7 linked regions of the Danio rerio genome follow. The main gene of each other region encodes a partner of the protein of the gene in region 6 in a complex. Links are inferred from orthologs where the notes say so. Each region holds a gene or a part of one and is shown on either strand. Other genes may lie near its edges.

Region 1 (4,977 bases), on a different chromosome or scaffold from region 6:
AAGGGATGTATTGACTGACTGTAAAAGAAAAAGCTTCAACAGAGAAATTACTTCCTTAAGAAACAATTATCTTTTAATGTTGACAACACATTGTTTATCATGTTTTATAGTACTTTTATTCAAGTACTGCAACACTTTGTGTGATCTGTTTGTATGGACATGCTTCTGAGGCCCAGAAAAGGTCACTGCTGGGGAAGGTGGCAACTACAGCCAATAAGTTGTTGGGAATAAAACTAAAGAGCATTGATAGATAGTACATACAAAGAAAGAGTACTAAATAAGGCTATCATGATTGTCAAAGATGAGTGACATCCTTTTCCATACACCTTCCAAGTGTTATTATCAGGTCATCACTATTGTGTTGCCAGATAAGTGAGAAATAGGACAAAATCTTAATTTATACCGTAAGCAGTTAAGTTTTTAAATTCCTCCTCCCTCAGTAGCAGTTGATGGCCAGTAGTCTAGATATTTATTTAGAGTAGGGGTACCATGTTTTTCATGATTTATTTATATAAATGGCAAATTTGAAATGTTAGTTGTCTCTGTGAGTGTATACTGCAAATGAAATTACCCTACAGGGACAAATAAATTAACCAACTAGCTAGCTAACTAACTAACCTAACTATATACACCCTCTCTGGGGAAGAAAATATTGTCCATCACTATCCACCACTGTACATGACATTTCAAACATGACCTCTTTTGAATAGATGGTAATGAAATGCAAAAACCTACTGGGCAAGTCTTCGGTTAAATGATTGATGTGGGATATTTGCATTTTTTTTTATTTATATAATTGAGGGTCAATAGTTTTGCAAAGCTAAATTACTGTACAAATCAAAGAGAAATTAGATGTGTTGTGCTTTCAAATACAAATCTAAAAGACTGTAAATGATTGCAAGTTTCCGTTCTCGTTGAATGAAATGATAAAATGATCCACTGCTGCTGTTTTGGGAGTTGTTAAAAATGGTACAAAATAAATATATAAAATAATTTATACATATTAATTTTTTTAAAGGGATAGTGATGAAATGAAATTATGTTCTCATTTACTTACCCTTCACTTGTTTATTTCTTCTGCTGAACACCAAAGAAGATGTTTGGAAACTGGTAACCATTTCTATAATATGATGAAAAACAAATACAATAGAAGCCAATAGTTACCGGTGTCCAACATTTTCGAAACAACAATACCAGTTTTAACATACTTCCAAATATCTTATTTTTGTTTTCAAATGAAAAAAAAGAATCTCATTAAGGTTAGAAACCCCTCAAGGGTGACTATATAGACAATTTTGAGGAATCTAAACAAAAGACAATGGTCCTTACGTATTTCCTGTTTTACATTTTAAATTTCTATAGCTTCCGAGAATCTAAAAAGAGCCACATATTGATAAATAATGTTATAAGAACTGTTTTAACATTAAGTTATGGTTGAATTGCCTCTTGATACAGCTGTGAAACAGTTTTATAACAAGCAGGAAATGTTTATGGGCCAACGACATCATCAAACGGAAATAGTTTATAGTAAGTACATTTTTATTTTTGGATAAACTATTTCTTTAATTTCAGACCTCCACTCCAGCTCAACTGAGGATTCACGGCTCTATTCCCCGCCTGTCCAGCGAGTGGCGCAGCGGGCAGATCCGCTCTTCTCTCCTGCCGTGCGGTCAAAGTGCGCTCGTAGTCCTTCCCTCTTTCGGCGGCAAGGCGTGCGAGTGTGCTGCATTAGCTTATACTATTCAAATAAACAATTTTTGTGTCTGAAAATACTACTTAAGTAATCCAGTCATGGTAAGTTCATCGTTATCTCTTTTATTTGTATCCAAACCTTCAGTTTGGCGAAAGAGCGTAGACGTTTTCATTCATAAATACGCTGATAATGCGGCTAGGTGTTAGCATCAGGAACGCAGACTGGACGTTGTTTTCAGTCATTTTCAGTGTTGTGTTAGAAATGTTGAGCTTTGCTGATAAATGTTCCTCCTTGTTCTCTTACAACCTAGTCGGTGACTCCCAAAATGCGATTAAATGATATATGTGTGGGAAAACTAAAGATAAAAACTAACGTTAAAGGAGTTTTTTCTGCTATTACTGATGCTTATTTGCAGCTAATTCTGGTGGAAACCAAAAACAATTAATGCTGTAAATTATTATATTGTTTTATTGAAGTTATACAATATATATATATATATATATATATATATATATATATTGTGTGTATGCATGCGTGTTTTGATTTTTTATACCACAAACTACAGTAATGAGAATTTGTCATTACAATTTAAAATGAAGTCATATCAATTGTATCTGTTTTTGTTTTGTTTTTATTATTTGTTTATTTTGCTTGTGTAAATTCATGCGGCTAGTGTCAAAACTTTTTACTAAAAGTTATAACAAGCTGATGAAGAAAAAAAACTAAAACCCAAAATGTAAATCTTTTTTTTTTTCTATTTGGTCAAATATGACTGAGCATCACCGGAGGCTATGCTAAAGTTTCTTCTAAGCTTTTCACTCACTTGAGAATAAAATCATCAACATTTGTAGTATTTTACTTCTTCAGGAACAATATTATGTTGACATGGAATTGTTTGAAAATGACACTTAGGGATTGATTTCGAATGATGTTAATTGTGTAACACTGATCTTTTCCCTCAGAGTTTGCCGCTGAACCCAAAGCCCTTTCTGAATGGTCTGACAGGAAAGCCTGTGATGGTGAAGCTGAAGTGGGGCATGGAGTACAAGGGCTACCTGGTGTCAGTGGATGGGTACATGAACATGCAGGTATGTTTAAAAGAGTTAACGATTCTATGAAAATCCAGCTCCTTAGTAGGAAGAAAATTTAAACTATTCTTTTTAACTCGAGACATACCGTTGTATATGCCATTATGGAGATGCTAGACACACACAGACATCTGCTTAAAGCAGAAGGTGGCCAAAAATGTAAATATTGTAATGGCAACCTAGCTGTCAAGCATATACACTTCATATGAAAACCTCAATATTTAGCAATTCTGAGTGTGCCTTACACAAGTGAGTGGGCTTTATAAACACTCCTTGACACACTTGCACTAGTTTTGTCTATTTGTACCAGACCCTCTCTTTCAACCACTTCATAGCTCTATAAAACATTGTGCATTTCTGAGATTGGTTCACACAGGTGAGTGGGCTTGACAAACCACCTGTAGAAATGCTAATCTCTCTAAATGCAAGTTTTTCTAGATCTCTTACAAGGACTTAATAAAAAAAAAAAAACAATGTTTACCTGTGACTGTACCACAAATTGTTTAACTGGTCATTTCCTTCAACCTTAAATGATCTCTTTTGCACAATATTGTTCTGTCTTATATAAAAGTACTTGTATAGTCTGTCTAAGGTTATGCGTAAAGTTTTTTTTTTTTTTTACTATTTATAGACCGTTTCAATGTGGTGATGCCATTGGCCCATGAATATTTCCTGCTTGTTGTCAATTCATATCTGTAACAAGAGGCGATTCATTCATAACTTATATAACAGCTATTATAACAGCTATTGTAACTATCAATATGTGGGACTTTTTGGACTCTCAGAAGCTACTGAAAATACAGTAGGACCATTGTTATTGTTTACATCCCTCAAAAAGGTCTTTAGTACATGTATAGTTAATTACTGCTCTGCTATGTAGTTATGTATAGGTTTAAAATCGCTCTTATGTCTATAAGGGTTGTTTATATTTATGATAGTTTATTTATGTTGCACTGTGGTCCTGCAAGACATTTCACTGTGTGTCCACAGATGTAGCGGAATGACAATAAAACTCAACTCGAGTTGATACTTTTGCAATGCCCTGTTTAAAATGTTTTAGATAACCATTTTTATCTGGAGAGTTCTTAAAGCAGGGATGTCAAACTTTGTTCCTGGAGGGCCGCAGTCTTGCATAGTTTAGTTGCAACCCTGCTTCCCCACACTACAGTTTGAGCATGTGAAATTCTGCCGTTTGGTGCTGCAAAAAGGGGCGGGATTAAACAAGCTGATTACGATTTGACCATATTTAAAATTTCTGTACAGAGAGGTCGTGTTTTGATCTTCTATTGGTCAGAGTTCACCAAGCTTTAAGTTTCCAACACATCGAACTGCGAAACTTGTGGCACGAGCTTGCGTTTCCTGTCTAAGGCATTTACTTGCTAATAAATGGAAGTCTATAGGGGTGCAGTGTGCCTGCCGCTTTACCTGTAGGTTTCAAACGACTGTAGGACTCAATTAGTTTGATCAGGTGTGGTTAATTAGGGTTGGAATTAAACTGTCCAGAGCTTTTGGTCCTCCAGGAATTGAGTTTGACACCTGTGCCTTAAAGCAACTATTTAAAAAAAAAAAAAAAAAAAGTGAATCTTTCGAAGATGGTAGAATTAAACTATTTTAAGTTTTTATCTAATTTTATTTGTTAATGTTGTTTGTCTTTTTATTGTTACATATATTGTAATGATATTTTGTATATTTCATATACTTTTGTTATAAGACTCGCAAAACTGATATGGCAATAAACCCTAAACTGCCTCTCTCTTTGCGATATTTGTAGTTGGCCAACACAGAAGAGTATGTGGATGGAGCGTTAGCTGGTCATCTTGGTGAGGTGCTCATCAGGTAAGCTTTTGGACGTGGAAACTCCGACATGGCAATAACTGAAAATGTACATTTTAAATTATTACATCAATGTTTTCTTCTTTGCAGGTGTAATAATGTTTTGTACATTAGAGGAGTAGAAGAAGAGGAAGAAGATGGAGAGATGAGAGAATGAAGAGTGTGTTGGTTTCTTTTCTAACAAGATTGGAAGATTTGTTGGTTAATTTACAGTTTGTCTCAGTTTTATGTGAAGCTGTGTCTCCTTTATTTGTGAAATTGTTAGCTTTTTTACACTGTAAAAGTTATTGGTAGCACAATGACAAATAAATTGTGCAGTTTGTAAACGTGTTGTCCTTTCTTTGTCTGAATTTTAATACACAG
Region 2 (4,708 bases), on a different chromosome or scaffold from region 6:
AAAATTGGGTTAACAATCCCAATATTGTTGAAAGTAATAAGAAAACTAACCTTGGTCATGGTGTTACGGATCAAATTGGCGGTAACATTTAACGAAGAATCTTCCATGTCCAACTTGGGCAGCTCTGGTAATTTTGGACCAATCAGAACCCCCGTTTTATCTGCTTCTTTCAAAAAGAAGGTTTGTTCATCTAGTTTCCTTTTTCTGCTCTCTAAATGTGTAGTCCTTGGCATAAATCTAATAGACGGAGTGGAAATCTTCTGTTTTTGCCTCAAATCTCCCTCTTTAACACCTGAAGATGAGGAAGACTCACTCTGCGTTGAGGTTTTTTGTACAGGAGGGATGAAATTATGCAGAGAGCCCATTTTATCCTCTGTCGTTTCATTGGTCCACTGTAATTGTGATGGCTGGGTAAAATGATTTTGAAGTCTATAAGAAATATCTGCTGTTGGAGGCAAAGGCAACAGAGGAAATCCCATATAGTCAGAATTTACGTTCTCCCTTCTGGCTTCTTCAGGGTTTTTCTGCATTTTAGGAGCTTCAGCTGTTCGTGTGTCTGTGCTTGATGATGACTCTGTGTTTACTTCCGCTTGCTGACTGTGTAGTTGTGCTGAAAACAAAATAAGCATATGATAGTTGTTAGACTTTCTACACATGCAATTTATTTAGAGAGAATACCAATGCATTACCATACCTGCATTTCGGCTTGCCCAGTTAACATATCTCCTTCTGTCTTGTAATTTCTGCTTTGTTTCCTCCACGGTTTCATACTCAGGAGCATAGCAGACATGCAGCTGACCCCCGAAGAAGCTCTTTTCATCTGTGTGCCTTTTAGCTGCCCTGTAAAAAAATAAATTAATTAATTAATTTAAAAAAAAAAAAAAATTATATATATATATATATATATATATATATATATATATATATATATATATATATATATATATATATATATATATATATAGCATGGCAATATCCACTCACTGGCCATTTTGCTAGGTACACCTGTCCAACTGCTCGTAAACACCAATTTCTATGCAGCCAATTACATGAAAGCAACTCAATTCATTTATGCATGTACATGGTCGAGACAATCTGCTCCAGTTCAAACATGAAAGCATGGATCCATCCTATCTGCTCAATGACATGCTATCATGTCAATATGGACCAAAATTAATGAGGAATATTTCCAGCTCCTTGTTAAATCCATGCCAGAAAGGATAAAAGCAGTTCTGAGGTCAAACCCGGTACTAGTAAGGTGTACCTAATAAAGTGGCCGGTGAGTGGATGTCATTCAGTGTAACAATAGTTTATAAGAAAAACAATTTTTGTCAGGCATATTTTTAAAAATCCCAGTACAGCTATTTTTACTTTGACACTATCCTAAAAATATATAGTTTTATTAAAATATAATTAAAATAACTACGATTACTTAATTCCATATATTTGAAATAATTATTCTTTGATTTTTGCTTTGGTTTAGAGGGGAAAAAATATGTAAAAAAGTATTTATAGAATTATCAGCAATAAATACTCTTTATAATATTCTTAAAATGTTTAATGGCAGTAAAGAGATTTACAGTGTTATTAAAGAGAAAGAGACACTAAAGAACATTAAAGAATCTTGAACAAAAAAAAAAAAAACCCTTAGATGTTTTGGATGTTAAGTTGTGCAACTTTACAACATTGATAATAATTAGAAATTATATACTGCACAACAAATCAGCAAATTAATTATTTCCGAAGAGTCATGTGACAATAACCATGTATAAATGCGAGTACCAAGCATGAAAATTACCCTTCATCCTCAACACAATACATTACACTTTTAAACAAGATAGAAAATGTGACAATGTAATAATACATCCGATTGTTGATGCTTTGTTTTTAGTTAAAAAAATATTAGCTGACTTGGTGAGCATAAGATGCTTCTTTCAAAATCATTTTCAAAATGGAAGACTCCAAACAATTGTATGGTAGTGTGTGTACTGTATATAGTTTTCTATATGTGTTTATTTAATATTTTAATAATGAATCATAATGTTTTAAGTCACATTTTGTGGAACCTACAAAGACAGTTCACTCCAAAATAAAAATAGACATCATTTACTCACCCGTTACATGTCACAAACATCGTCTGAGCTGAACACAAACGATATTTTAAAGAAAGCTTGAAGCCGGTAACCATTGACTTCAATACTATTTATTTGTCCTACTATGCAAGTTGATGGTTACTGGATTCCAGATTTCAAAATATCTTCCTTTGTGTTTCAAACCACTTGAGGGTGAATAAATTGTTATTGTTACAGTATTTGAGTCAACTATCCCTTTAACTAAAAGTGAATGCGACTCTGCAGTGCACCAACATGGTACATTGAGGTAAGGATGGTTTTAGATTCACACATTCTTTCAATGACAACTTGTGACATGCTCCCTATATTGTTTACCATGGTACTTTTAATATTGGGTTTGAAATCACATGCAAGTATGACTTCAAATCAGCATTACCACTATTTATTTGACTGTGAACAATGTTGAACTTTGATAGTCACTAGCTGCTAATTTGATTCACTATTAAGAATATGCAAAGAATACTTTTCTGAAATTATATCATCAACAAGAAAAATATGGCACAATATATAATATATGGCACAGACTCGCATGGGACATGATTTAATCAGCCTTTTCTTACCGTGCACTCGTCAACTTCTGGAACTGAATTAAGTAAACCTCAGTGAACTCTTCTGCTGGGTATTCATCCAGTGGCCTGTACTCCTCGATCACTCCATACAGAGCAAACAGCTGCACCAGCTCAGCCATCACTCCAATAGCGGGCACTCCTTGAACTAGTAAATACCGAGACTCCAGGTTGATGGTGTACACCTAAAATTAGCGATTCAGCCATTATTTTTATAAGCAGAGATTCAGTTCTTGTGAGAGAGACCTTAAAGACAACATGACTGCTTACATTGACGCTGCACAATTCGATGAGATAAAGGCATTTATAAAATAAACCGACCTTAACAGCTTTGAGGCGTCTTCCTTCTCTGTATTTTGGTCGCGTTTGGGCAACATTTTGCTGCTCGTGATGTTTATACACTTTTTGTGTGTCCCACACAGAGGAACTAGCAACTGACCCGTCCATCACTGTGGAAATCAGCGACGAAAAAAAACAGGCTTTCAAAATAAAAGTTCCAATTAGAAAAAATAAATAAAAGCCCGCTTTCCCAAAAGGATGCTAATAAAAATAATATTAAGAAGAATAATGATGATGGTGATAAAAAAATATTATAATGATAATGACGATGATAATTATAATAATAATTCATTTACACATCCAAATTATGATAAACACTTCTAACAAAATAAAATAAATATCAAAAAGATTTGGACAAAAGTCAAAATTGTAAGATGCTAACTCGCAGAAAATGTCGCAACTATTATAAATGCAGACGAATTAATTATAAACTATATTATAAATTTATTTTAAGTTTTTAACGTTTAAAACAAGCTTCTTTTTTTACCCATTTAAAGGGTTAGTTCACTCAAAACCGAAAATTCTGTCATTATTTACTAGGTTGTTGACTTGTTCCAAACCATTTTGATTTACTTTCTTCTTAACACAAATTAGGATTTTTAAAAATACATATAATACAAAACTTCCATATAATTATTTTCAGCATTCTTCAAAACATCTCTTGTGTTCAGCAGAATAAAGAAACTCAGAAAAGCTTGGAACCACCTGAACCTCTGAGTAAATAGTGAGCCCATTTGATTTTTTGGGGTGAACTCAATATATTACTATAAATTACTAGTAGGCCTATTTAATGTGGGAGATCATTATAAAAATTATTAGAAAATTAAGCAAATATATACTATTCAGTTGCTGGAGTAAAAGATTAACAGTGTTTTACATTTATTAAATGTAAAAAGATTTGTACATTACATTGATATAATGATGTAGGCTATTAGCCTATCCTGTACATTAGCTATATTTCATTCATTATGCATCCATTAAATAAATTAAACCTGTCCAAATTAGATCGTTTAAAATGTTTGAGCAAACGAGAATCTGCTATGTTGACTTTGTCAGATAAATAATGACTGATCATCTATGATGACTGATGGAAAACTGTTCAGTGTATTATATTGAATGGTGATTATTCCCCATTCGCCCGTCTTGATCGCTATATTTGTGAAATGGTATGCCTATGCATTATTGTTTACAGTGTTTGCCTATACAATACATATTAACAATAACCTTATGTGTAAAATATATTGATGATGTCCGAGAAGAGGTTAATAACATTAACACCCGTCTAACTTAGATCGTGTGTGCCTGAAACGTGTGTATATCTGCAGCTGGATAAGTTTTAACCCCAAAACACACACATATTAAATAAATGAATAACGTATACATACATTTTGCGGGGCTACTCATATTTCATTTAATAAATATTAATACTAACACACGGACATGTTTGCACAGTATTGCTACAAGATCATTACTGTAGTTGTAATTAAAACCCGGCTAATGACCAATCAGCAGCAAGGACTGGACATATCCGTTTTATAAAATGGTTTTATCATAGGCTGCTATTTCATAAGGTATGACAACAGATTCTTGACAGAAAGGAGCACGAGGTTCCTCTTTTCCCCATCATTCTGTGATACAGGCTTTGAGCAGCATCCCTCCAGAAGCATGTCT
Region 3 (4,979 bases), on a different chromosome or scaffold from region 6:
AAAGGAGAGAAAGAATATATAGTTTGATTGTATTTATGCATAGACACACTTGTAAGTACACATAAATGTAATTCAATCAAAACTTTAAATATGCATTTTGTAAAGATGGATAAGTTAAATCGATCTATAGAGATACATGGATAGATATACAGAAAACAAGAAATGTAACACAAGCCAAACGTCAAATATGTTCACGTTTAGACCACGGGTGTCCAAACTGGGTCCTGGAGGGCCGATGACCTGCATATTTTAGTTCCAACCCCAATTAAACACATCTAAACCAGCTTATCAAGCTCTTCCAGGAAGGTCTATTGAAAGAAGTTGGATCTAAACTATGAAGGACACTCCAGGACTGAGTTTGGACACCCCTGGTTTAGACAGATAAATGGGCAAACAAATCCAAATTCATATGAAAATGTTAAAATATGTATTTTTGTAGATAAACAGAAAAACTGTCAAAAGTAAACGTAAATTAAACTTTAAATATATATTTGTGTAAAGAAAGACAAAAAAAAAAAAAAAAAAAACGCCATCCAAACAACACTTCAATTAAGTATTTATGTATATATTTATCTGTGGATTTGTGTGTAGATAGAAAGATGGTACATGGATAGATGGACTATGATTCATTATCTTTATTTATTTACAAGCAGAAATATAGAAAAAAAATCTACTTATAAACTGAAATATTGTTGGAAAGAAACTACAGAACAAAAAAAAAAAGCAAAAACAAAGTCAACTGTAAAGTTATGTTTTTGCCATACTCACGATAGCCACATCTTTTACATCCAGCTCTGATGTTGTCTTTATTTGGACCTGTTCATAAAAAGACATTCAATTCAATTTATATTTCTTTAAAAGTGTCATTTACATTGTTACATATATTCTGTATTGATCATATTTCATAATGGATTCATCTAGCTCACCATTTAAAACAATATCAAAGAAAGTATGTAGAATTAAAATAATGCGTCGTCATGAGATTTTATAAACATTATTAATCAGTAAACCGTAACTGTAAATGTAAAACATTCAGGAATTCAGGAACAACAGTCTTTTATTTAGGTAAATGTGTGCGATGTGAATGTCCAGACGAGCGAAGATAATCGTGCAGTGTTACTACCTAGAATAATCCCGAAGTAGCATATCAACAACAATCAGCAATGCTTATGGACAAACCCACAAAAGTATACCTGGGGCAGCCATGTTGTACTCGATTATAAATAGATAGAAATGATAACTTTCGTCGTATTCCGTCCGCCGCTTTTCAAAACACAAAACCGATCCGTCTGGTAAAAGAGTCCGGGTGGAAAGTGAACGAGTGCTCTATGGTACCATTTGGAGAACAGTTAATCCCTTCCATAGATGCATGAAAAATATGAATGTATTACGAAATATTAGCGCTAAAAAGATAAACGCAAGATGCTGCACTGAAAACCAATAAATATTGTCACGATAAGAGATAATTTGCCATATCTTTATGGTTTATCTGAATTTTGAGATATTGGCTTAAGCAACAATTTTTGGGGATACATTTTTCTGAATAGAAAGACACAATTTTCACTCGCAGGACAAAATGTTTTAAAAAATGCCAACACTACAATACTATACTACACGCTATAATTCAAAGACGACAATATAAGTGGAGATTATTTTCGTGATGTGCCCTGAAGTTTTAAACTTTACACATAAAACATGGTCATATTGATTATAATGATTGCTTGTAAAAATAAAAATCTGTCTCTCAATGTTCTATAATCTAAATGGTACGTTTATATTTACTCCGAGACTATAGGGGGCGATAAGGCCGAACAAAGTCTGCATGACGAATGAACGAAACTCTGCGGCGGCGTGACATGAAGCGCTTGTAAACAGAACATACTCTGGTACTTTATATCGGCTAGACGTGCTTCTTATGTTTTTGTAACATCTGCGCATATTCTGTACATTCTCTGTCATCAATGAAACCGTGGTGAGGGAAGTATACTCCAATAATACGCACTAAAGATGAGCAACATATATATTCAAGAGCCACCAACTAATGGAAAGGTGAGTTTCCATATCTCAAAATCATATTCATGATATATAATACTGCATATACACTAATTTGAGTCTGATTTTGCTTGCAATTTAAGTATTTTATTTACTTGCATTTTAATTATGAATTATGCAACGAATCAGTATTTTACGAGAACAAGCAAGTTAGTACCTTTATACATTTGTTCACGTATTTTAGAAACAGAATGGCTTATTAAACCTTTAAACTAATGCTTTAAAAAAACGAAAAAAACAATGAAAAGGTTTACACACATGTACATTTAAGATAAAAGAATATTCTCATATGTAATACAGCTCATCAGGGTGAAATTCTAAAAACCTTTAAATTGGTGAGATCTTTACTCTTTAATAGTGATCTTTAATAATGTGTATATAATATAATATATCTGACTACTTAAATAATACACAAGTGTTTAAGTTGTCATTCTAAATCTCCCAATAATATGTATTTAATAATAAAATGCTTCGGCGACGCAGTAGGTTGTACTGTCGCCTTACAGCAAGAAGGTCACTGGTTCGAGCCTCGGCTGAGTCAGTTGGCGTTTTTGTGTGGAGTTTGCATGTTCTCCCTCCGTTCGTGTGGGTCCACAGTCCAAAGACATACGGTACAGGTGAATTGGGTAGGCTAAATTGGCCGTAGTGTATGAGTGTGAATAAATGTGTGTGGGTGTTTCCCAGAGATAAGTTGCGGCTGGAAGGGCATCCACTGCATAAAAACGTGCTGGATAAGTTGACAGTTCATTCTGCTGTGGCGACCTCAGATTAATAATGGGAATAAGCCGAAATAGATGAATGAATAAAATGCTTCATTTTATGAGATCCATTTAAATCTCTTTAGTTTTATTTTATGCATTAGATGTGATAATAAAGGCTTTGTATGTTTATTTTAGCAGTTTTTTCTATTAACAGTTTTTCCACTGAAAAAAACAAACTGTTATAGTGTAAAGCTTTACAGTAAATAAAGCCTTTGAACTAAACTGGTGTTTTCTCACAGGTCTTGCTGAAGACCTCTGCAGGTGACATAGACATAGAGCTCTGGTCTAAGGAAACTCCCAAAGCATGTAGAAACTTTGTTCAGCTGTGTATGGAAGGTAGGTGGATTCACACACAAACTCATGCACATATAAAAGGCAATGATTTTATTATAATATTTTTTGCACTATTCATCATATCAAGTCATCTTCATACATAGACATTTGCATTTTTGCCTGTTTTTAAGGTTACTATGATGGCACAATCTTCCATCGTATGGTGCCAGAGTTCATAGTTCAAGGAGGAGATCCGACAGGCACTGGAACTGGTGGGGAGTCTATCTACGGCCGGCCTTTTAAGGTTGTTGTTGTTTCTGTAAATCATTGGGTGCTTTGTATAATTACATTGATGATCTACAAGTTATTTTTGAAGAAAACAATTACACTCATACCTCAGTAAATTTGGCGTGTCTTGCTATTAATATCTCAATTCTTTGTGGTATATTCAACAAGGTGGTAGAAAGATTCGTCCATATTGACATTTTTTTGGCATACACTCACATGAATGTGAATCTCCACTTTCAGCACATGCTAAAGGTGCTCTATTGGATTGAGATCTGGTTTTTGTGGAGGTCATTTGAGTTTAGAGACTCACTGTCATGTTAAAGATACCAGCTTGAGATGATCTGAGCTTTGTGACAGGATGCGTAACCCACAGAACTGCTACTGATTGGATAATTTATCTTTTTGGACCATTTTGTGTAAACCCTAGAAATGTTTTTTTTTCTTGTTAAAAATCCCTGTAGATCAGCTACAGAGTTTCTGAAATGCTCAGACGCCAACAACCATGCCACATTCATAAAATCCCCCTTCTTCCTAATTGTGATCGACAACTTAAAAGCTTATGATGTTTTTCTACTGGCCAGGAAATTAAAACTAGTTATTTCTAAGCCATCTTTTTATATAAATAATGTTGAAACAAGCCAAATATAGCTGTATGCATGCACTTTTTTTATTTAATATAACATTTCTTTAAAATCAGTTGACAATTTAAAAAAGACGAATTGTTGTAAATTATGCACTAAAATCTGTCCAGATTGAAGGTCTCAGATCACCAGTTTACGATTCGTAAACAGAGCAGCCTCTTATTAATGGAATGTTATTGTAAATATAATAATTAAGTCATATTAGTAAAAACAGTGTTATTAAACAGTATTTAAGTTTTATGGGGATGGATTCTCAGTGATCAGAAGATCAGAATGAAATACTCTCTCTGTTCAGAAAATGTCCTTCAGTCTAGATGAATACATATAAGCAGTCCACTGATTCTAATTAGCATTTGCTTAAAATGAAATTGAATCAAAACAGAAATGTTGTCCCTGTGTTATTATTAATATAACATATTTTTAACACTTTTACCTCAAACTGAATAGCAGTCTACACTTATAAAAAATACTTATAGTAATTATAGTGAATACCGTAGTGTTTTTGAATGATACTATTGTGAAATGTATTATACTAAATATAACTGTATTTAATACTCTATAATAGTTCAAAGAATAATACAAATTTGTTAATGAATGCTATCAGCATTCTGTAGCATTTACTATAATGAACTAATAAACTAATAAATACTGTAGTATACTTTAGGTTTTACTACAGTAAACTGTGAGCTTTGGTTTGAACAGCAGATCCTACTGATCACATTTACATGCCTAAATGCATTGAGATTCAATTTCTGTGAGCAGATAAAAGGGCTTATCTAATAAAGTGGCCAGTGAGTGTTTCTTTGTTTTGTGTACAAATGCTATTAGTCATTAATTGTTTTTTCCCAACTCAGGATGAATTTCACTCCAGATTACGATTCAATCGGAGGGGTTTGGTTGCTATGGCAAACGCAGGACCTCATGATAATGGGAGCCAGTTCTTTTTTACTCTTGGACGAGCAGA
Region 4 (4,736 bases), on a different chromosome or scaffold from region 6:
GTGTTTTGCCCTCATATTTCACTGACAAGCTTTGACAAATAAGTATGTTTAGATATTACAAGTGAGAGATTTTTGAATGAAGGTTGCATTGCTTGATTTTACAATAACTGAAGAACACACACTATCTATAATTATGTATTGATCATCAACACTGAAGATCTCAATTTAAAACACACATTACCTAAAACCAACAGTCAGTTTTCTGAAAATAAATAACTTGCACTTTTGAAAACAAAATAAATTATTTTCTGTGCTTTTCATATTAAAAGTATAAAACTAGCCATATCTCTTTTAAATAAAATAGCTCTTGTATATCCTGTAAATAATATTTTGAACAGCAATTGCATTTCTTGCATCTTTTGTAAACAAATATTTTAATGTAAACAATAGCTTAATGGAAAATATGCCGTCTCAAGGCATCTCTGGCGCAGCTTACAATCATTGCCAATGCAATGCAAAGTAAGGCTCAAAAATTACACAATATGACTGCAAACACTGTAATGAATTTAAAAAAAAAGGTAACTTTTTTTAAAATAACTAACCTTGAGCTTTGAGAATAGCAGCTTTTCCTCTACCGGCTCCTGCTCCTTGGTTTTTGTTTTTCATGCTCTTCAACATGGGGGCGTTTTTCAACATGTCAGGCAGAATGAGAAAGCGGATTTTGCTGCCACGGATGTAGACCTGCTCGAGCTGTGACACTCTGCCATCTCGATAGGTCACTGTAATGTTGGACATCTGATTCGCAGCACAACAGAAACGCAGTCAGTTGCATGACTCGAGACAACAGACATTAAAAGAATGCGATTTTAGTGGGATAAACTGTTCTTCAGTTCAGCAGTACCTGGCAGTTCATGTTATCCTCTGCTTCGATCAGTTTTCCCCTGTACACTTCACCTGTGTTTGTCTCACAGGTCACAATGTGACCCTCTGCTTCATGCAGGACTTTGATGGGTACGCCAATAGACATGTTTTGAACTGTGGGACAAAAAAAACAAAATTACCAAAAAAATATTATCTATACATCTATATATCTATCTATGTGTGTGTGTGTGTGTGTATATATATGTGTGTGTGTGTGTATGTGTGTGTGTGTGTGTGTGTGTGTGTGTGTATGTGTGTGTGTGTGTGTGTGTGTGTGTGTGTGTGTGGTGTATGTATGTATGTATGTGTATATATATATATATATATATATATATATATATATATATATATATATATATATATATATATATATATATATATAGACAACAGACACTGACCAATGGTTATAAAAGGGATAGTTCTTTCAAAGTGAAAATTTGCTGATAATTCAACCTCATCCCATCCACAATATTGACGACAACATGCACATCATTATGTCACCGGGAGACCTTAATGAAAAGGCTAAACATGTGCACAGGCTGGGGGTTTAAGGTAATACTGTACATAATGCTCAGTTTCTTCCACAGACTGATGCTGTAAATGCCCCCCAAACACAGTTGTTGTGTGTCCTATTTAATGCAAATGAGCTACTGCTTGTAAGAGGGTGGAGCATTTACAGCATGCGTCTCGTCTCGGGCACACAAACCCTTTCTTTGGGTTTATCCGATGACTGCTGCACTCATGTGACATTACAGTTCTTCATATTAAGGAGAGTTTGTTATTTGTTTGCATTTTTTACATTGTCAGGTCAAATTCCTGCTATACTATTTGTTGCCTGTGTACTAAACTTTTATTTAGCATCTTTACCCTCTTACTGCTCTAAATCTATCAAATAAAGTTTAGGATTTTTTCCATCTTACCAACCAAAACACACACGGAAATGCATTAAGATCAGTTCAGTGTATGTTTCTTTCAGATGAAACGGCTCAGACTTACATTTTAGTCAAACCTATTTTTGAGCAATGTTGCTCGGCAATATTGCAGAGTGATTCTGCTTAGCTACTTTCCTATTGATAATGGGTATCAAAATTGTATTTGGATCCTTCATTAGCTGTCCTGTGTCTTACTTGGTTTCTCAATGATAGCATCACTACAACATCTTCCAACAACCATGCTCAAAATTGTTCTGGTATCATCCCCTTAATGTCTTTGATATATATATATATATATATCAGTAAGCATGGGAGGAGCTCGTAACGTCACTGAATCTGAAGTAGACTGCTTCTGATTAATGAAGAATGTGTAAAAAGTGAGTGTATATTACCATTACAGCCTTTTTGCTTATACTGTCGAAATCAGAGTGTAGTTTTAACTCAAATATATAGTTATAACACATTTAACTTTAGCTTTTGACTGTATATGTTTTGTGAATATCAAAGGTTACCCTTTGACTTGGATTTTATTTATAAGAGCCAGGTTTAGTTTTATGAAACAAAAAATAACTCCCAAAGTCACCTCTTAAATAGAAAAAAATAATATGTCATATTTTTTGAGTAATTTAAAATAACCGACTCGTTAGAACGATTTATTATACCTTTTTTGCTTTTGATTCAATAAAATGAACCGACTCTTACGAATCATTCGTTTAAGAATCATGTTCTAAACATGTAACGTTAGCTGGAAAGAATCCACGCTAGAATATGAAACACCATAAAATCATTTGGCTACGGTACTTGTAAAAACTGACTTATAACGTTACTGAACTCAATAACAGGATGAAGCGATAGACATTAATGAATATCCAAGATTGATCTCTCAAACGAGTCGCGTGAATGCAAACAATGAATGACCGAAATATATGTTCCTCTACTAAATAATCGAAAAAGGACTGTATATTTTAGCACAGAACCACGCAAAATACCCCACGTAGTTATCAGGTTATAATCATAAAGCATTACAGTACCTTGAATCTGCAGATTCGTTGAAACACAGCAGCGGAACAACGTGAGCTTGTGCGACGTTTTCCCGCTCCCACAATGCACCTGAAAGCAAAAGCCCCGCCCTTTCCTGAAAACCAGTTGCATCCTGGGAGGTGAAGTCCGTATTAAAACTACGCAGCAAACATCTCAAGACTCGCACACAAGAGGGCAGCATCGAATTGTGCATTTTACTTAAAATAATTTAATTTAGTGTTTTAAATCTGAGTCAAATTAGTGTCACATTCATAATAAACAGTTAATCTAAGTAATTTGATTTAATTTTAAATATTCATATTGTAATTAGTTTGTTAAATCTATCTTTGAAATCCAATATATGAGAAGAACTGTAAATAAAATCGATAGAATGAACCTATTAAAACAGTTTTTTTTAAATATTGTATATTGTATTATATACAGCTATGATATAATATATAAGATGTTTATTTTACTTTTATTACAATTATTGAATTATTCACATTGTTAAAAACAATTGAATTTAATATAATGTCAATTTTATCTTTCAAATTAGTATAGCAATATTCATTCATTCATTCATTCATTCATTCATTCATTCATTCATTCACTTTCCTTCGGGTTAGTTCCTTTATTCATTAGGGGTCACCACAGCGGAATAAAACGCCAACTTATCGTACATATGTTTTACACAGGGGATGCCCTTTCAGCTGCAACCCAGTACTGGGAAACACCCAAACACACTCATCCACACTCAAACACTACGGCCAATTTAGTTTATTCAATTCACCTAGAGGAAACCCACACCAACACGTGGAGAACGTGCAAACTCCACACAGAAATGCCAACTGACCCAGCCAAAAATCATAATTTCATTATTTCATACATTAAAAATATATAAGTAATTACCATAATACACTGTAAAAAATTTGTTGCTGTTTTAAATTTTTAAGTTGAATCAATTTAATTTTAGTAATTTCAACTTACATCAATCAAACTGATTTAAAGGGGACTTTTTATGGCCCTTTTTACAAGATATAAAGTTTGTGAAATCTTTAAAAGTCTCTGATGTCGTTTTGGTTACTGTCGCTTTAAATTCAAATGATATTGTGTTCCCAGCCCTTTTTTAAAAAGGGGAGCCACAAATGCCTGTGTGTCAGCATAGTGGCAGATTCAAAAACAAGACTAATGTAATATGCTAATGAGGGACAGATTGTCACTACAAAGAGAGAATGTCAATCAAAGTTTTTCTGCAGACTAAAATTAATATATTTTTACCATTAGAAGGTGATTATATTTACAGACTGTTCCACACAACTGTTTAGACCTCTTATAAAGGGAATTTTTGCATAATAGGTCCCCATGAAGTTAAAATTGCTAACGTAAAAAAATTAACAAAAATGAACGCTGTTGTGATGTTTGGATCAAAAATATATATAAAATGGATCAAAAATATGCTGTTGAAGTCATAACTATTAGCCCCCCTTTGATTTTTTTTTCTTTTTTAAATATTTCCCAAATGATTTTTAACAGAGCAAAGAAATTTTCAAAGTATGTCTGATAATATTTTATCTTTTGGAGAAAGTCTTATTTTCTTTATTTCAGCTAGAATAAAAGCAGTTTTAAATTTTTTAAAAACAATTTTAAGGTCAAAATTATTAGCCACTTTAAGCTATATATATTTTTTGGATAGTCTACAAAACAAACCATCGTTATACAATAACTTGCCTAATTACCCTAACCTGCCAACATAATTAACCCAGTTAAGCCTTTAAATGTCACTTTAAGCTGTATAGAAGTGTCTTGAAAAATATCTAGTCAAATATTATTTACTGTCGTCATGGCAAAGATAAAATGATTCAGTTATTAGAAATGAGTTATGAAAACTATTATGTTTAGAAATGTGTTGAAAATATCTTCTCT
Region 5 (3,634 bases), on a different chromosome or scaffold from region 6:
ACCACCATCTCTCAGGACCTGAAGTGGGACACTCACATTGAATCTATTGTCAAAAAAGCTCAACAGAGGCTGTACTTCCTTCGTCAGCTGAGGAAGTTCAACCTCCCAAAGGAGCAGCTGAAAGTTCTACACTTCCATCATTGAATCAGTTCTCTGCAGGTCAATAACTGTCTGGTTTACTTCAGCTACCAAATCCAACCTCTGTAGACTATGTCGAATAATCCGGACCGCTGAGTGAATCACTGGTACAACCCTCCCTACTCTCTGAGAGCTGTAGTTATCCAGAGCGAGAAAAAGGGCTGCCAAAATCACTCTGGACCCCTCACACCCAGCACACTGCCTCTTTATAAACTGTTACCTTCTGGTGGACGCTACAGAGCACTGTGCACCAGAACAGCCCGACACAGAAACAGTTTCTTCCCTCAGGCAATCCATCTTGATAATTTATCACACTTGATAATTATGAAACAAACATCACTACTTGCTACACACTTTTTAAACACACATACACTTATTAAACAACATACAATAACGGTTTCCCCACAAGTCCATACATATACCTGTACATACACTTGTCGATTTGTATATTTGCATTCACTACTGCTATTTTAAAATATATTTATAATCTGTTTTTCGTCCTGTCTCTAATTCTGTTGCACTGTAGAAACGGTCACGAAAACAAATTCCTCGTATGTGTAAACATATCTGGCAATAAAGCTTTCTGATTCTGATTAACTTTACCCTCATACTTGGGACAACTAGTTTTACTCGAATATTTTTTGTAAGCACAGATCAGATTAAGTGTTTTCCCTTTTACACAAATATAGTTTTTTTTATGCTGAATGACGTATTTTCCATATATAAATCCTTATTTTTGAACATCAAGCAAGTTTTGCTGTTATTAAAAACATGTTCATTTTTATCAGAGACTGTGAATGCAAAGCCTGGTAAATATCACACAAATCAGACATGCGTCAAAAAATGCCACTTGGATAATCACACTTCATTTATTCACAAAATGTTTTATGAATTGTGTACACAAATACAAAGAGGAAATATATAAAACACAAAAAGTTGTTTACAAACTGAACATTTGTCGACAAAATCAAGGATTTCTGCTTATTATTGAGTCTTTGTTGTAAACAGACATGAGAAACCCATTCTTACGTTTTCTGGCTGTGGGGAAAAATAACAAAAAGAGGGAAAAAAAAAACTGGGTGTCTTTCTCATACTCGCTCAAGAGCCTCCAGCATGATGATACTGTTTCCTCTGATTACCTGAAAAGACAAAAAAAAGAAGAGATTAGCCATTTAGTCCAAGCTATCATGTTCTACTAGTGGTTAGCACTGTCACCTCACAGCATGAGGGCTGCTTTTTCAAGTCCCGGCTGTGTCAGTTGTCATTTCTGTGTGGAGTTTGCATGTTCTCCCACTGTTCGCGTGGGTTTCCTCCGGGTGCTCCGGTTTCCCCCACAAGTCCAAAGACATGCGCTACTGACCATATTCTAAAATGCGGAGTGCGGCTGTTTTTGCGATTGTGTGTGTGGATGAGAATGTATGAATGTTTCCCAGTACTGGGTTGCAGCGGGAAAAGCATCCGATTTTATTTGTACTACATTTTATTTTATTTAAGGTAAACACCAAAGATGCCCTAATTTTTTAGACTGTACAGAGCAGCATTATAACAGAACCCTAAAATGTATTTAGTACGATGATCCCAACCAGAAAAGGTGGAGTGTGGCATAATAATAGCTCTTTTTTTTTTTTTTGTCGCATTGCTTTTATGTCTTATTAGCAATAACTTTAATGTTCTCACACCAAGACGTTTTTTGCTCGCGGTTTCCGTCGTTTAACGCCTCGTGACTAAATAAAGGGTGTCATGGTGATCGTGCACACCAACACGCAAAACAGTAGGCGTAAAAGCGCCATTTAAAAAAAAAAAACGCCTCATTCTCGTTTTTTTGTTTTGACTCGCCGCGTCAAAACCTTCTCCACCAATCAGGTTGCCACTTTTGTTCACGTGCAGGGAGCTGCTGAAGTTACAGTAAACAGCACTTGGAGGCGCTCAAGTGCAAAACTGTCAATGGGAGCGCTGCGATGCGAAACGCTGACAATAAACGCAAATGAAAAGCATCCCAGTGTGTAAGAGCCTTTATTCTGCTTCACACAACCAAGCTAATACATTCCTTTTATACTTTAGCTCATCCACAAACATTTCTGCAGAAGTGGTGTAGGATGTAATGAAAACCATAACTCCCATTATTCCACACTCACACCATGTCCACACATAAACAGGGTATTTTATAAAACAGTTTTTCCAGCTTGTGTTTTAAAAACAATCTCTGTCCACATCAAACAGAAAATTGCACTGTGATCCATGTTAAGGGCACGCCGAACCAACTGGCAGAGATTGACACATTTGCTGGATTCACACCAAATGGGGAAGTATTTTTGCAGGTAACTTGCATACAAGTCAATGCAAACATGAGAACAGGTGGATTACCATCCTGTGGTGCGAACTAATCAATATATGCAATATTTTTGCCGTGAACGTGCAAAATTTGCCGCATTCAGATCTTCCGCATTTGATGTGAACTCAGTCTTGTAGGCCAATCAGAAAAACATGAGGCAAACAATGAGGTGAAGTCTAGTTGTAGTGTCCACACCAGACCCAGAGTTTTGGAAAATCTTAACCCTGGCTGTTTTCATGTGGAAAAACCTCACAGAAAAAAGTGGTTTAGAAAATAGCAGGGCTTGTGTGGACAGGGCATTAGCCTCATAAAAATCTGTGTTTGTTTGTTGTGAATACACACCCTCTAGCAGTAAAACTGACATACTGTGCCTCTAATAATAAATTGTTGTAATGAGTACTGACCACCATCCCAATGGTGTTCATTTGTCCTCCTGGAGCCATTTCTATAGTGTCATCAACGACCAGATTCATGAAGGGGTCAAATCCACGCAAGATGCCCTGAACATGACGGCCACCGTTGAGCTTTACTGAAAGTGCACATGAAAACATCAGCTTTAAAAATAATGCAATAAAAGCCATACAAATTAAAAGTGTCAGGCGTTCATTCAGATTCATGTCAATTATTTAAATTTCTATAATATCTTTGCATAGAAAGCCACATTAATTCATTCAAAATGTGCGTACACTTTTTGTATTGAAGTCGAATAGGATCAAATGAATCATTGTTTGTTCTCTAAAACATAACTCAGTAGCTTTATGTTAAAGCTGAAACCACACTTCATGTGATCAGAAACTTCTCATTAATGAGTAATTTTTTTATATTATTGATAAAACCCACAGGCAAAGAAAAAAGTATGCATTAAATTAGTTATTAATAACATACCCCACAAACATTGAATATATTTATATAAATATACAATTAAATTAAACAAGGTACAACATTTATTTCAAATGTTCACAAAAAAAAAACTTCACTTGCAAAATGTTTAATTTCAGGTAAAAAAAATAAAAATAAATAAATAACCCGAATTAGTTTAACTTTTGTTATTAATTAAACAGAAGAAAAAATAAAAATCTGTAATATTAGAACAGAGGCGGATATAAATACATAGTATTAAAACAGGGTATCTGCACATTTTTTAACAGGAAATTTAAGACCTTT
Region 6 (4,269 bases):
TGCATCAGGAGGGTTAGGCAAAAAATACCCTCTAAACTTTGCTCTTGATTAGAGCAAATTGAGACGGAGAAAAACAGCCCATCTAGCACAAGAAAGCACACAGACAAGACACAACATTGACAACTGGGATGGGAACAGGGGATATGGATGTAGTGCGATGAGGGTGGGCAGCCATCTGGTCCTGCAGCCATGGAGGAGCTGGTCGCAGACCCGCCCACTCCTCTCATGGGTGAAAGCATACGAAGGCATTAAATATTTCGTAAAAATATTGAATGATATTAATGATATGACTTAGTTCCGGAGACGTTTTACTTCTCTGTTTATCCATCTTATTTTATGATCAGTTTCTTTTGACTGCCCCCTGTCATTTTAAGGAATATCACAACAGCGAACACGGCAAATATAAAAGCCTCGTCTGTTTCGCGAGGTGCGCGTGCAGTCAGCGGAGGTCTGCGTTGCCAGGCAAAAGTATAAATTCTGCTTAACCCGGATGTAATTTTTGCAGTCTCCAATTTTTGTTCGCTATAGGCTTTGCTAGGCTTACTCTGTAAAAGTCAATGTTTCCCTTTGCATTGAACTTTGAGCGCATTACATCAGCTACATTACACATTAACTAAAGTTTAAAATATGATATTGTAGTGGATCACCCTTTTAATGTTTGTATAAACCTTTCTTATGCTGTAAACTCGCTTAGAATTATTCAGCAATGTTTTGCCACAAAATAAAAAAAAAACTTGATAAATACTTGGTTCTGCTTTAGTTGAATGTACTATTTACACTATTAGCAAACCATCAGCTAAGACATTTAGCTCTCTAACTACTAATTAGCTGCTTTGTAATAGTAAGGTAGTAGTTGGGTTTAGGTATTTGAGTAGGATTAGGGATGTACAATAAGATCAAACTTTATGAGTGCTAAAACATTGTAATATCTCAATAATAGAAAGCTAATAAACCAGTAGTAAATGGTGTAAATTGTTACATTAATTGTTACTTTTGTTAATGTTATTTACGTTTTGTCTGTAGCTTCAAGGTGAAGATGGCAGCAAAGATGCGGGCCGAATACAAAGCTGTCTTACACATGCCTGTGCTGAAGGAGGGCCGAGAAAAGGGTTCTCTCCACACCTCTGACCCATATGGCCAATCGGCGTACCCTCTGCCTGGTATGGCTCATAAACCAATCCTGTTGGCTTTTTCTTTATATCAGTATTTTCATTTAGTTTGTTTTTTTAATAAACCTCTCAAAGATTTCATTAACTATTAACTGTTTGACTTCATTTGTGCAGACACTACTCCAGAATATTTGGTGACAGGAACACACCCTTATCCATCTGCTCCAGGTTGAACCAGGATTTTTTTACTTATTTAGCCTAGATGCTAAACATTTCAACCAATTTATTTGAGGCCTAATAATTTTTTTTTTTTTTTTATTATTACGCTTTCAGGAGTTGTCCTCACTGCAGACACACAAATGCTGAAGATGCCCAGTGAAATGGGTGTTCACTCCATGGCCCTTGCTCTTCCTCCGTCTCAAGCTAGGTACTGAATTGTATTTCCTTATGGGTTGTTGTAGTTACTATTAAATGTTTTTAGAAAAAAAAAAATTATATATATATTTTTTGCCATAAAAAACATTTTAAAAAATTTAAAACCAGCACGACAACACTTATGCTTTTGTATTTAGGTTGCACAATTTGGCCTGAAATAATTATAATCATAGTTATTGTTATTATAAATAGTATAATTTTTTTTTTCAAACGAAAATTGTAAACAAAATAATAAATGTTATTACTGTCGAATTTGATTTAAAGTAATTGTACAGATTTCTATAATACCAATGTATGACTGTTGTAATTTCACAATGAGAAATTAAAGCTTCTCTTTGGTTGACCTCAGAAAACCAAATCATAACAAAGCATTTTTTTTTTTTTTGCGTGCATTTACATATGGTTACTTTGATTTCTAGACAGTAAGTCATGCCTGACTGTAAGTTAAGGAAAGAACCCCTTTTAAATGTTTAAAATTGAATTTAATAAATGTAATAATGTGAAATTGGTTACGAATTGGTTTATTATTAAAAAAAAGTAAAAAAAAAAAATGGATAGGTATAAACATTTATTTTATTTTCATTTCAAAATGTTGTTTTTCACCAGAATTATTTCACCCAAAAATTGCAATTGTTTTGAATTATCCTCATGTCATTCCAATTCCTTGAGGCTCTTCGAAACACAAATCAAGATATTTATATAGTATTTTAGATACATGAGAAGAACTTCTAAAAGACAGTAAGGGTCATGATGAGACATTTAAAGTCCAAAAAAAAGAAAATCAAGAATATTGTAAAATTATTTATTGTGACTTCAAAAACTGTTTTGTGTGCTAAAAAAAAGTTATTTTGACTTAGTTCACCTAAATATATTTTTGGGGAATTAGTCCGTTGACCAGCAACATCATGGACCCTGTAGTGAACCTGTATTTGGTGCTGTTAACTTGTGATCAGATCATTAAGACACATTCAAGGGTAAATTAAATCTGAGGTATTGTTTGTTTTGTAGGCAGGAAGCCAGTCGAACTGCAGCCAGTGTGGCAGAAATCCACAGACATGCAGGAGGAGCAGAGAGATCTCATCCCCCACAACATGCACTGGTCAGCAACAGATTTTACTTTTGTGTGTTCAGGTTTAACATGTATTATTAATGTTATGTGCTATAGTTAATGTATTAGTTTAGTTAGGGTTTGTATTTAGATGTAATTGTGTTACAGCCTCCAGGCTTGAATAAAGTAACAAAACCAAATAAAGATCCAAACCAGAAAATCAATTTAATTAAAATATAATCAATTAATAATTAAAAAGTCACTATTGTGGGGGAATAAAATGACCTTCCATGCAGTGTGCAACACAGCTCTTAGTGAATGAAAATATCCAGCTGATTTTTAATAAAAGATTCGACTCGGGAGTCATTTAAATGATTTGTCGTTCATCTGGATCTTTTTCCTGTTCGTATCGATGTTGACAAAATATAACCTTTTGTTATGGATAATATGGGCTCTTTAATTGAAATGATTCATAAATGTAAAGAAAAGAAACTAAAATTTCAAAGCTGAAGAGGGAAGGATCAACTTCTGCAGTCCAATTTTCTGGGTCTTTATCTAAACGCACATCACAAGCAACACTGTTTATATATATATATATATATATATATATATATATATATATATATATATATATATATATATATATATATATATATATATATATATAAAAAACAACAATAACTATGATTATAATATATATAATATAATAATATATTGTAAAAAATTAAATTTATACTTTTTATAATAACAATAATTATATATATATATATATATATATATATATATATATATATATATATATATATATATATATATATATATATATACTTTTTTTTAAATTTACAATCAATTTAAAGTTATTTTAAAATAGTTTTTTGTAAACTAATTAATCATTTTTATTTTCTTTTTTTTACTTTAGTTTTTATAATTTCAATGCTAATTAACTAAGCGCAAAACTGGAATATCCCATATAAGACATACGAATAAAGCAGCGTTTCCATCCAAGTAGTCAAAGAGAACAAAGTTGTCACTTCCTGATTAACTGGTGCCAAATATCAACAGTAAAAATGGAATTTGTTGCGGTAGGAGAAGCTGCATCAATTTTTTCCTTATTTAATAAATTACTTGCGCCTTAGAAGACAGTATGCCGATTCGCAGTGAATGTGCGGAGGCGTTTAAAGCCGTGAGACGCTGAGCACAGACGCTCTTGATAGTTCTTTAGGTCATTAATTGTATAATAACACTAATACTGAAACGTTTAAGGTGTTTTAGAATGACCAAAACAACATTTTATATGTTTTACAATGTGCTGAGCCTGCTGGTTTGTCCATTTACACACATTTTTATCATCACATGATCCCTTATAACAAAATCATATGACCGTTTTTAATGTGCATCTTTTTTTTTATGAAATAAAAAGTTTATCCTCAGGTATGGGCACATGTTTTTTATGTGCATTTTCTAAATTTATTCACATCTTGGCGTTTCCACTAACCAAGTTAATTTTTTTTTTTCATTTTGAGTCTCTCACACGCAAGGGCGGACTGGCCATCTGGCAGACCGGGGACTCTTCCGGTGGGCCGACGTACTTTTTGGGCCAGGCTGATCATCGTCTTATGATCTGATCGTCCCATAAAAGGCTTAGCAGCCTATCATTTTTTTTTCTGCCTTATTAAT
Region 7 (3,889 bases), on a different chromosome or scaffold from region 6:
CCTTTACCACAATGGACCGATACATCGAGCGCATTACTGTTGCCGCTGCACTGATCCGCCTGTCAATCTCACGTTCCATCCTTCCCTCACTTGTAAACAAAACCCTGAGATACTTAAACTCCTAAGGACTTTTCTCCACCCTGGAGATGGCAAACCACCTTTTTCCGGTGAAGCACAAAGGCCTCGGAATTGGAGGTGCTGATTCTTATCCCAGCCGAGTCACACTCGGCAGCAAACCGCCCCAGTGCATGCTGAAGGTTCATGTTCGATGAGGCCAACAGAACAACAACAACGTCTGCAAATAACTATAGTCCCTGAACCAGACCCCCTCCATTCCAAGACTGCGCTTTGACATTCTGTCCACTAAAATTATAAACAGAATTGTTTACATAACTAATACAACCTTTTTGTGTGATAAGTGTTACCAAAGCTGTAATACATAAATCTGCTTTGAATACATGAACACAGAGAAATTAGCACAATAAATTTTTTTGCTGGACTTGTCAGCTGCTTTTGACACTGTCAACCACCAGATCCTGCTATCTACGCTCGAGTCACTGGGCGTTGCGGGCACTGTTATACAATGGTTTAGATCTTACCTCTCTGACAGGTCATTCAGGGTGTCTTGGAGGGGAGAGGTGTCCAACCTACAGCATCTAAACACTGGGGTACCTCAAGGCTCTGTTCTTGGGCCACTTATGTTCTCCATCTACACATCATCTCTAGGACCAGTCATCCAGAGACATGGATTCTCCTACCACTGCTATGCTGATGATACCCAGCTATACCTCTCTTTTCATTCTGATGATCCCTCGGTTCCAGCTCGCATTTCAGCCTGCCTGTTGGATATTTCACACTGGATGAAAGATCATCATCTTCAGCTGAACCTCGCAAAAACGGAAATGCTTGTAGTTTCTGCCAACTCGACTCTTCACCATAACTTTTCAATCCAGATGGATTACTGCATCCAAAATGGTGAAAAGCCTTGGAGTAATGATTGATGACCAACTAAACTTCTCTGACCACATTTCTAGAACTGCTCGATCGTGCAGATTCGCACTCTATAACATCAGAAAGATCCGACCCTTCTTATCTGAACATGCAGCTCAACTCCTTGTTCAAGCTCTTGTTCTCTCCAAACTGGATTACTGCAACTCTCTACTAGCCGGGCTTCCAGCTAACTCTATCAAGCCTCTTCAACTGCTCCAGAATGCAGCAGCACGAGTTGTCTTCAATGAACCTAAACGAGCACATGTCACTCCGCTGCTAGTCCGTTTGCACTGGCTGCCAGTTGCTGCTCGCATCAAATTCAAAGCTCTGATGTTTGCCTACAAAGTGACTTCTGGCCTTGCTCCTTCTTATCTGTTCTCACTTCTGCAGATCTATGTGCCCTCCAGAAACTTGCATTCTGTGAATGAACGTCGCCTCGTGGTTCCATCCCAAATAGGGAAGAAATCACTTTCGCTTACGCTCAATCTGCCCAGTTGGTGGAATGAACTCCCTAACTGCATCAGAACAGCAGAGTCACTCGCTACTTTCAAGAAACAACTAAAAACTCAACTATTTAGTCTCCACTTCACTTCCTAATCTGCAATTGCCTCTCTGAATATCACACTAACTGTACCAAAAAAAAAAAATACTAATACTACTAATACTTCCCTTCTTAGACTTTACAGACCTGAAACTTGCCTATAGCACTTATTCATTGTTGCTCTTAGTTGTGTAAATTTTTTCCCCTCTCCTCATTTGTAAGTCGCTTTGGATAAAAGCGTCTGCTAAATGTAAATGTAAATGTCAATAAATGTGTCTGGAATATGTAACTACTCATGAAATATAAGCATTAATCTGATAATACATAAGTCTGACAAATGATTAGTATTTTAAGTGTCACAAGAGATACAAATGTATTGATAAACATTGTTTGTTATGCTTCAGATAAAAAGGAGAAGAAGAAAAAGAAGAAGGAGAAGAAAGAGAAGAAAAAGGCTCTGAAGGAGGAGAAACGTGAGGGGCGCTCTGAAAGCTCTGCATCTTCTCCTATCAGAGTAAAGAAGGAGAAGGAGGATGTGGCGTATGAGAAATACAGCGTGAAAGGACCTGCGGCTAATAGAAGAGACAGAGCAGATGAGCAGGAGCAGTTAAAAGAGAAGGAAAGAGAGAGAGAAGAGGGCAAGAAGACAGACAGAAGACATGCAGAAACACAGCAGAGAGAAAGAGACAGAGAAGGAGAGAGAGAGGGGGACAAAGAACGAGAGAGAGACAGAGGAAGACAGAGAGACGGGGAAAGACAACGAGAGAGAGATGGAGGAAGACAGAGAGATGGGGAAAGAGACCGAGAACGAGAGAGGGACGGAGGAAGACAGAGAGATGGGGAAAGACAACGAGAGAGAGATGGAGGAAGACAGAGAGATGGGGAAAGAGACAGAGAACGAGAGAGAGACGGAGGAAGACAGAGAGATGGGGATAGAGACCGAGAACAAGAGAGAGACGGAGGAAGACAGAGAGATGTGGAAAGAGACCGAGAACGAGAGAGAGACGGAGGAAGACAGAGAGATGGGGATAGAGACCAAGAACAAGAGAGAGACGGAGGAAGACAGAGAGATGTGGAGAAAGTCAAAGAACGAGAGAGAGATGGAGGAAGACAGAGAGATGGGGAGAGAGACAGAGAACGAGAGAGAGACGGAGGAAGACAGAGAGATGAGGAGAGAGTCCGACAACGAGAGAGAGACAGGGACAGAGAGAGAGACAGAGGTAATGGCAAACACAGAGATCACAGTCGTGAAAGAGAACACAGGCGAAACTGATCAAACTCAGTAGTTTACATTTTCTTTTGATGTAAAAAATATTCATGTTTTTATTGTATTGTACTACAAAAATGTAAATAAATGTTTCACACTTTTTTTAAGTCTTTCTGGAATAATTGACTAATGGCCACTCAATGTTAAATTACACACATTTTATTTGACTAATAAATAGATTTCATTTTAAGTTAGCACAAATACTGTAACAAGAATAAAATAGAATAAATGTCCTGATGAACTCCAAAGTCAAGGTGATGCGAAGAATTCCTGTCAATTGTAAACCTGAAATCATTTGTAAAATAAAATTAACTATTAAAAGACATTGAATGTAGGCGACGCAGTGGCACAGTAGGTAGTGCTGCAAGAAGGTCGCTGATTCGAGACTCGGCTGGGTCAGTTGGCGTTCCTATGTGAAGTTTGCATGTTCTCCGAACGTTCATGTGGGTTTCCTACGGCTGCTCCGGTTTCCCCCAGTCCAAAAACATGTGGTACAGATGAATTGGGTAGTCTAAATGTCTCCCAGAGATGGGTTGCAGCTGTAAGGGCATCCGCTGCGTAAAACATATGCTGGATAAGTTGGCGGTTTATTTCGCTTTGGCGACCCCAGATTAATACTAGTACACCCAGTGGTTGAACTAGGTATTACATTCCTGGATCAAAACAAGCGCAGGTTGCCAGATTGAGGACCAACAGGAGCGAGCCTGACTATCGAGCCTAAAGGCTGATTTAAATCGTGTTCTAAATAAAAGCAACGGCACGTCTTTGAAGGAATATTTTCCACATAGTTTTTGTTCTAATCAACATCTTGAATTGATATATTTGAAACGGTTTCTATTAGGGCTGCACGATTAATTGAAAAAAGGTCACAATCTCGATTTGACCTTACACGATCTTAATTCAGCTTTTCTACGATTCAGCCAATTATTTATTCAAGGTCAGGAGAGAAGCATAAAGGCAGTCAGACAAGTCTTCACAGCAATGTGGACACCTACAAATGGCTATGAAAGAGATGCATATTGTATTTATAAGGTATAGTTCACCCAAAAATGTAATTTCTGTCTTAATGTAATGATGTATTCACGACCGCG

Evidence for each region.
Region 1: plrg1 (region 6) and snrpf share a complex: the UniProt entries of both Homo sapiens proteins name them as parts of the minor spliceosome. The link is inferred for Danio rerio from reciprocal best matches to the Homo sapiens genes PLRG1 and SNRPF.
Region 2: plrg1 (region 6) and rbm48 share a complex: the UniProt entries of both Homo sapiens proteins name them as parts of the minor spliceosome. The link is inferred for Danio rerio from reciprocal best matches to the Homo sapiens genes PLRG1 and RBM48.
Region 3: plrg1 (region 6) and cwc27 share a complex: the UniProt entries of both Homo sapiens proteins name them as parts of the minor spliceosome. The link is inferred for Danio rerio from reciprocal best matches to the Homo sapiens genes PLRG1 and CWC27.
Region 4: plrg1 (region 6) and snrpd3l share a complex: the UniProt entries of both Homo sapiens proteins name them as parts of the minor spliceosome. The link is inferred for Danio rerio from reciprocal best matches to the Homo sapiens genes PLRG1 and SNRPD3.
Region 5: plrg1 (region 6) and snrpg share a complex: the UniProt entries of both Homo sapiens proteins name them as parts of the minor spliceosome. The link is inferred for Danio rerio from reciprocal best matches to the Homo sapiens genes PLRG1 and SNRPG.
Region 7: plrg1 (region 6) and rbmx2 share a complex: the UniProt entries of both Homo sapiens proteins name them as parts of the minor spliceosome. The link is inferred for Danio rerio from reciprocal best matches to the Homo sapiens genes PLRG1 and RBMX2.

The regions. Positions count from the first base shown.
Region 1 is NC_133182.1:19,363,726-19,368,702, forward strand, and holds snrpf (small nuclear ribonucleoprotein F), read left to right. Parts: upstream 1-1,604; 5' UTR 1,605-1,791; coding exon 1,792-1,794; intron 1,795-2,655; coding exon 2,656-2,781; intron 2,782-4,552; coding exon 4,553-4,617; intron 4,618-4,704; coding exon 4,705-4,771; 3' UTR 4,772-4,940; downstream 4,941-4,977. UniProt on the Homo sapiens protein: Plays a role in pre-mRNA splicing as a core component of the spliceosomal U1, U2, U4 and U5 small nuclear ribonucleoproteins (snRNPs), the building blocks of the spliceosome.
Region 2 is NC_133194.1:42,804,388-42,809,095, reverse strand, and holds the start of rbm48 (RNA-binding protein 48), read right to left. Parts: upstream 3,223-4,708; 5' UTR 3,146-3,222; coding exon 3,020-3,145; intron 2,884-3,019; coding exon 2,693-2,883; intron 841-2,692; coding exon 695-840; intron 611-694; coding exon 51-610; intron 1-50. UniProt on the Homo sapiens protein: As a component of the minor spliceosome, involved in the splicing of U12-type introns in pre-mRNAs.
Region 3 is NC_133185.1:12,054,762-12,059,740, forward strand, and holds the start of cwc27 (spliceosome-associated protein CWC27 homolog), read left to right. Parts: upstream 1-1,831; 5' UTR 1,832-2,007; coding exon 2,008-2,049; intron 2,050-3,052; coding exon 3,053-3,149; intron 3,150-3,277; coding exon 3,278-3,390; intron 3,391-4,869; coding exon 4,870-4,979. Other genes in the region: protein SREK1IP1, read right to left, coding at 769-816, 1,194-1,206. UniProt on the Homo sapiens protein: As part of the spliceosome, plays a role in pre-mRNA splicing. Probable inactive PPIase with no peptidyl-prolyl cis-trans isomerase activity. As a component of the minor spliceosome, involved in the splicing of U12-type introns in pre-mRNAs.
Region 4 is NC_133196.1:14,699,731-14,704,466, reverse strand, and holds the start of snrpd3l (small nuclear ribonucleoprotein D3 polypeptide, like), read right to left. Parts: upstream 2,942-4,736; 5' UTR 2,825-2,941; intron 976-2,824; 5' UTR 968-975; coding exon 842-967; intron 736-841; coding exon 543-735; intron 1-542. UniProt on the Homo sapiens protein: Plays a role in pre-mRNA splicing as a core component of the spliceosomal U1, U2, U4 and U5 small nuclear ribonucleoproteins (snRNPs), the building blocks of the spliceosome.
Region 5 is NC_133198.1:36,935,845-36,939,478, reverse strand, and holds the end of snrpg (small nuclear ribonucleoprotein G), read right to left. Parts: intron 3,000-3,634; coding exon 2,875-2,999; intron 1,278-2,874; coding exon 1,227-1,277; 3' UTR 983-1,226; downstream 1-982. UniProt on the Homo sapiens protein: Plays a role in pre-mRNA splicing as a core component of the spliceosomal U1, U2, U4 and U5 small nuclear ribonucleoproteins (snRNPs), the building blocks of the spliceosome.
Region 6 is NC_133176.1:27,252,244-27,256,512, forward strand, and holds part of plrg1 (pleiotropic regulator 1), read left to right. Parts: intron 1-1,023; coding exon 1,024-1,160; intron 1,161-1,283; coding exon 1,284-1,337; intron 1,338-1,442; coding exon 1,443-1,536; intron 1,537-2,552; coding exon 2,553-2,643; intron 2,644-4,269. UniProt on the Homo sapiens protein: Involved in pre-mRNA splicing as component of the spliceosome. Component of the PRP19-CDC5L complex that forms an integral part of the spliceosome and is required for activating pre-mRNA splicing.
Region 7 is NC_133196.1:41,950,059-41,953,947, forward strand, and holds the end of rbmx2 (RNA-binding motif protein, X-linked 2), read left to right. Parts: intron 1-1,935; coding exon 1,936-2,804; 3' UTR 2,805-2,901; downstream 2,902-3,889. UniProt on the Homo sapiens protein: Involved in pre-mRNA splicing as component of the activated spliceosome. As a component of the minor spliceosome, involved in the splicing of U12-type introns in pre-mRNAs.